Linked DNA regions of Cricetulus griseus. The protein of the gene in region 1 purifies or fractionates together with the protein of each later gene. This does not show direct contact. Links are inferred from orthologs where the notes say so. Each region holds a gene or a part of one and is shown on either strand. Other genes may lie near its edges.

Region 1 (3,830 bases):
CATTAGCAATAAAAGAAAAGGGAAAGGGGATTTTTATAAATAGTCCCTAAAATCACTATAACCTGTCAGGTTAAAAAATGGGCTGGAGAAAATAGCTCAGGGGTTGAGAACACTGCTGTTCTTCTAGTGGACCCAGGTTCAATTCCTAGCACCCACATGGCAGCTCCCAACTGTTCCAGGGAACCTGACACCCTTACACAGACATACACACAAGCAAAACACACATAAAAATAAATAAGTCTTTAAAAACAAAAAAATAGTCACTTAAGCTGGATGTTTTGGCCCACGCCTTTTATCCCAGAGCTCAGGAGGCAGAAGCAGGTGAGTTTGAGGCCAGCCTGGTCTCCAAAACAAGTTCCAGGATGGGGGGGGGGTTACTTGAGGGATGGCTCAGCAGGTAAGAGTGGTGTAATGATTTTGTAGAAGATGAGGGTTCGGGTCCCGTACCCGCATAGCTACTTGCTTGCAGCTCTCTATAAATCTAGCCCCAGCAGGCCCTTTTTGGGCCTCTGAAGGCATTCATATGGTGCATATACATACATGCAGACAAACATACATACACACAAAATGAAATGAGTCTGTAGTGGTTAAGAGTACTTGTTGCCGGATTATGAAAACCACAGTTCAGATCTCAGAACACACATAGCAATAACAAGCTGGGCAATCATCTCTAACTCGGCTCTGAAGACTCTGATGCTGACTTCTGGCCTCTGTGTACATAGGCACATGCACACGCACACTGAAAAATACCATGATTTTTATCCAGTAAAAGAAAAGGGGCATTGATAGGAAAAACTAGTGCAGTCCAAATGAAGCCTATGTTAGTAAGTTCTGACAATTATAGTATGTCCCTGTCTGCACTTTGCATTCCTATAAATCCAAATTTTTATGAAATTAAGATTTTGGGGAATTGGTAGTGTCGGATAAATCATGTGATTGTTTTGGGGTTGGTTGAATTGGATTGTTTTATTGGCAATTTTTACTTCTAAATTTTATTTCATAGGTCTTAATCCATATTTAACTCTAAACAACTCTGGTAGTGGAACAATTCTCATAGATCTGTCTCCGGATGATAAAGAGTTTCAATCTGTGGAGGAAGAGGTATGTTCATCACGCTTAAGAAAATGGATATTATGGATCTAACCACTCATGTGGTTGATTCCGTTGCTGTCATTTTTTGTTGGTTTGTTTTGGTTTGGGTTTTTGTCCCTCTTTCACCAACTAGAGAATTTGGAAGTATTTACAATGCATTTGGTTTTTCCCCCACTCCTTTTTTCTTTCTTTTTTAATTTTTATTTTTATGTTGCATGGATGCTTCACCTGCATGTGTATTCATATAAAGGTGTCAGATCTTGGAGTTACAGACAGTTGTAAGGTGCCATATAGGTGCTGCAGAATTGAACCTGGGTCCTGGAAGAGCAGTCACTGCTCAATGGATTTCTTAATTAACCTTAGTTTTAGATACTTGGATCACTAACTGCTTCATTAATGTGGAACCAGAAACCAAAATTCTGTTGGAGAAGGTCTCTGTCATTTGAAAATAATGGTAGTATTCACTCCCTTTATGAAGGCAATTACAAAGTGAGGAATCTCAGATAGTACTCAACATGTAGATAGTATTTATCTGGGAAATTTTTATTCTGGTTTCTTTTCAAAGATTTCTTCAATCCACTGAAATCTTAGAAAAGTTATCCTCCTATGTATTTTGGGGGGGAGCAGGGGGAGCAAGGTAGCTACATATTCTTTTGAAACAATATGTAGCTTTAGCTGTCCTGGTTTTCACTCTCTAGACCAGGCTGGCCTCAAACTCAGAGATCCACCTTCCTCTGACTCCTCGTGCTTGGATTAAAGGTGTGTGCCATCACACCTCACTGAAGAGTCATTACACTCTCATGTACATGTGCCTCATCTGTTTGAATTAAGCACATATGCAAAATTCAGTGAGATTTTGTTCTAAAGATCATACTCACAAGAAAATATATATTGTGCTTTATTAGTTTAATATCAGCACAAATAGACCATGCTTTTATGTTTAACATATTTCTACATTCCATTTTATCTTGGTTTACATTATGTAACTTTTCATCTATAAATATGTTTTCAGGATGCTTAATAGTCATCTCTAGAACATAGTACTTATGGTAATCCCAACCCTCAAGAGGCAGAGTCAGGCAGATGTCTGAGTTCGAAACCAGCCTGGTCTATAGATTGAGTTCTAAGACAGCCAGACCTGCACAGAGAAAACCTGTCTTGAAAGAAGAAAAATGTAGTCATGAGTTTATAGAATTAATGTCCTTTCAAGAAAAGTATTAAAACTACCTTGAATTCTCAAAAAATAGGATCAAATGAATCAAAACCATGTTCCCACAAATCAGAATGACAAAACTAATTTGTGTTTTAAATTCTTTTCATCAGATGCAAAGTACTGTCCGAGAGCACAGAGATGGAGGTCATGCAGGTGGCATCTTCAACAGATACAATATTCTCAAGGTAACAGATGAGTGAAAATAAAGTTTCCCAAGACTGTTACTTTCCACAACCCAAAGCCTTAAGTAGTCTTGATAAGAACATACTATCTGTCCAGCACCTTGCTTTTTGACATGGCTTCAGGAACTATTGAGGGGGAAGACTGTCCTACAAAACTTAAAATTCTAGACTGTCAGTAGTGGCACAAGCCTTTTAATGTCAGCACTTGGGAGGCAGAGGCAGGCTGATCTCTAATTTGAGGCCAGCCTGGCCTACAGAGCAAGTTCCATGACAACCAGGCTACACAGAGAAATCCTGTCTTGAAAAAAATGAATAAATAAAAATTATAAAAACTTACAGAAGGGAGCTGGAGAAATGGCTCATAGGTTAAGAGCACTGATTGCTCTTCCAGAGGTCCTGAATTCAATTCCCAGCAACCACATGGTGGCTCACAACCATCCATTATGAGATCAGGTGCCCTCTTCTGGTGTGCAGATATACATGGAAGCAGAATGTTGTATACATAATAAATAAAATAAAATAAAATAAACTTACAGAACAGTGTCAGTATGCCCTGAACTGAATGCATCCTTTAGGCTAGTGAGCACTAAAGTTTACTTGACTTGCTTGATTGTGTCTGCTACAATTAGATTATTCAGAGAAGGGAGCACTTACATAATGTTTGTGAAGCAGGAAATAGGAGAAGCTGATTTATAAATTACTGTGTTCAAATTGAAAAACATGCTGTTTCCTCCTCCTCCTTAAAGGTGTTTCAATACAACATTGAATTGTGTGTGTGTGTGTGTGTGTGTGCGCGCGCGAGTGCGTGCGTGCGTGCGTGTATGCGAAAATGATTTTATTTTTGTTCTATTTTATACATGAATAAGGTCAGTTGGTGCCAAGTGTTGTCCTTGATTACATCTGTTACCAGTACTTTGATTCCCCCCCCCCCATACTAAAACTGCAGCTCTGATGTGTGCTCCTAGGGATCACAGAGGCTGAAGCACTTAGTGTCCATTTGACCATAGAAATACTCCAGTAGAAGCTCAAGGGGAAAGGAAACGATAGGAAAGAAGGTGGGGGTATGTGTGGTGGGTGGCTATTTCAAATCTTGTTTGTGTATTATTTTTATTAATTTTTATTTTATATGCATTGGTGCTTTGCCTAGGATGTCAGGTCCCCTGGAACTGAAATTACAGACAGTTGTGAGCTGCCATGTGGGTGCTGGGAATTGAACCCAGGTCCTCTGGAAAAGCAGTGACTGCTCTTAACCACCGAGCCATCTCTCCAGCTGCCTTGTTTATGTATTTTGAGTCTGATAAAGTCTGTACAAAATTTAGCATGTCTGGGGGATTTCAGTGGTG
Region 2 (3,027 bases), on another chromosome or scaffold:
AGCCAGATCATTTGAGGCATCCTTAGAAACTTTAGATTATACTAAAATCAACCTTGTAAAGAAAGGAGTATGGGTGAATTAAAAGTATATATAGTGAATTAATAATCAATGTTTGATGACTTGAAAAAGAATGGGTAGTGGTACATGGATTTGGCAGATGGGATATGATATTAATATGACTTATCGATGTTTTGGATATAATGAGGCAAAAGGGTAGTTTAGGAGCTAAATTTCTGACTTACATAAACATCTAGAACCATAATCTAATTGCTAGTTAAAACAAAGGCTACAAATTGCTGTTGTCAGAGTCACAATTTGAAGGACCGAGCTATGTTTCTACTACATACTGAAGTTAATTTGGAGTAGGTGTCATGTTTTTAAATGCTACATTTAGTTCTGTCTTATAAATTCTGTGGCTGGGTAGAAACAATATTTAACATAAACTATATATGCCTTGCTTTATTTTTTGCTTAATAACTCTTCATTGGTTCCTGTAAATAAAAAGTGATGAGTTACAGCTACAAATAAAAGAGGGTGTTTACATATATTGAGTTTTTCCTGCTTTCACTTTCCCATCTTTTGTTTGAAATAGGGCATATGGAGCTCATGCTGGCTTTGAATTTGCTGGTCTCCGTTTTTATGTCTTCCTCCTATAGCTTGTGGTTTGCATGGAATAGGTACTTTGGGGGTATTTTCTGAACTCAAAGTGAATCAAGATATCAGAGAAGTTAAAAAAGAAAAAAAAAAGGTATCAGAGAAGTTTAAACCTGGTTTTACTTTTTTCTTCTCATTTTCCTAGGATGGCTGGCTGTGGTGAAATTGATCACTCGATAAATATGCTTCCTACAAATAAGAAGGCGAGCGAGTCCTGTTCCAATGCTGCACCTTCTCTATCAGTTCCCGAGTGTGCCATTTGTCTGCAAACATGTGTTCATCCAGTCAGTCTGCCCTGTAAGCATGTTTTCTGTTATCTCTGTGTAAAAGGCGCTTCATGGCTTGGGAAGCGATGTGCTCTTTGTCGACAAGAGATTCCTGAGGACTTCCTTGACAAGCCAACCTTGTTGTCACCAGAAGAACTTAAGGCGGCAAGTAGAGGAAATGGTGAATATGCGTGGTATTATGAAGGAAGAAACGGGTGGTGGCAGTATGATGAGCGCACTAGTCGGGAGCTGGAAGATGCTTTTTCCAAAGGTAAAAAGAACACGGAAATGTTAATTGCTGGGTTTCTGTATGTTGCTGATCTTGAAAACATGGTTCAGTATAGGAGAAATGAACACGGACGTCGCAGGAAGATTAAGCGAGATATAATAGATATACCAAAGAAGGGAGTAGCTGGACTTAGGCTGGACTGTGACACTAATACTGTAAATCTAGCAAGAGAGAGCTCTGCCGATGGTGCGGACAGTGTATCAGCGCAGACTGGAGCTTCTGTTCAGCTGCCAGTGCCATCTTCCTCAAGGCCCCTCACATCCGTTGATGGTCAGCTAACCAGCCCTGTAACACCATCCCCCGATGCAGGCACTTCTCTGGAAGACTCTTTTGCTCATTTACAACTCAGTGGAGACAGCATAGCTGAAAGGAGTCACAGAGGCGAAGGAGAAGAAGACCATGAATCACCACCTTCTGGCAGAGTGCCAGACACTTCTGTTGAAGAGACTGAATCGGATGCCAGCAGTGATAGTGAGGGCGCCCCTGTGGTGGTTGCACAGCACTCCTTGGCCCAACAGAGACTTTTGGTTTCAAATGCAAACCAGACAGTAGCTGACCGGTCAGACCGATCCGGGATTGACCGATCAGCAGCCGGGGCTGGAACCATGAGTGTCAATGTCAGGTCGAGAAGGCCTGATGGACAGTGCACAGTGACAGAGGTTTAAGTAAACGTCTTCAGTGCCACACTCAAGGGTGAAATGGATACCTGTAAATTTCTGCCCACATAACATTATACTCATCCTTAGTAGTGCATTGTGGGAGTTGGGGTGGGAAGGGATATGGGAAGGACAGACCTGAAATTAAAATGTCTAACATATCTCTGTTGAAATTTATTTAATGTGAGGAATTGGGGTGTTAATATTTGAGAGCTGTTCAGTAATAACACAGTTTTCTTGACATCTGTTTACTTTCTAGTGTATTTTTTTTCAGTCTTTTGTTCTTTTGGCCAGTGTGTACTTGTGCATTAATGGTCCTCATCTGACTCTTGCACAACTTTATTTTTCTGCATGGATTGGTATAAAATCATTACTAAAATTTGGCACCTGTGAGATATTTGATATCATTATGAGCAGGAAGCTTAATGTGGAAAATAGATGTGAATTTGGGATATAAAAATAGATGACTAACAACTACTTCATAGTTGGTCTCACTGAGATAGAAATGTAGAGCAGCAGCTGCTAAGTTCTTTCACAATCTGTAACACACTTCATGGTGTTCCTTTCCATAGGATTTGCTGTCTTGTCCTTGTACGTGGAGGGTTCTCTTAGTCTGCATTTTTTCTTTTTGATTAAAAAAACTTTATAATTTAATAAATACTAGAGTTTATCAAAAATAATTGTTTCTTGTTTGAGTTTGGAGATTGCTTCATAAGAAAAATTCACCGAGGTATTTTGTTTTTGTAAATTACATCAACTTAAGAAAGAACAAAATGGCCAGATGTAATAGTATATACTAGCATTTGGGAGATGGTGGAAGGGGGATTAGAAATTCAAGACTACCCTTGGCTGCATAATAAGTTTAAGACCCTGCCTTAAAATTTAAATTAATAAATATGTTACAAAAGATAAGCTCAAGAATAGATTTTCTGTTTGAAAATTGATCTTTGGCTCTAGGATAAGAATTACTGTAGGAATGTAGAAGTTGCTAGAAGTGATTTAAGCAAATGTTAAAAAAGAAAAACCAACAAATTGAGATATGAAAAATATCAACCAAACCAAATAAGCATATAAGCAGTCAACTTCAAATGAATTCTGCTGCTCATTTTTAATATAACTTCACTTCCATCCATGTTCTCATTGAAGCTTCAACTTGTAGTAC

Evidence for each region.
Region 2: the proteins of Tnks2 (region 1) and Rnf146 purify together in Homo sapiens (co-immunoprecipitation; 3 studies listed by BioGRID and IntAct, with this or other methods). This does not show direct contact. The link is inferred for Cricetulus griseus from reciprocal best matches to the Homo sapiens genes TNKS2 and RNF146.

The regions. Positions count from the first base shown.
Region 1 is NC_048596.1:24,894,935-24,898,764, reverse strand, and holds part of Tnks2 (poly [ADP-ribose] polymerase tankyrase-2), read left to right. Parts: intron 1-1,003; coding exon 1,004-1,101; intron 1,102-2,415; coding exon 2,416-2,490; intron 2,491-3,830. UniProt on the Homo sapiens protein: Poly-ADP-ribosyltransferase involved in various processes such as Wnt signaling pathway, telomere length and vesicle trafficking.
Region 2 is NC_048595.1:247,887,169-247,890,195, reverse strand, and holds the end of Rnf146 (E3 ubiquitin-protein ligase RNF146), read left to right. Parts: intron 1-799; coding exon 800-1,874; 3' UTR 1,875-2,248; downstream 2,249-3,027. UniProt on the Homo sapiens protein: E3 ubiquitin-protein ligase that specifically binds poly-ADP-ribosylated (PARsylated) proteins and mediates their ubiquitination and subsequent degradation. May regulate many important biological processes, such as cell survival and DNA damage response.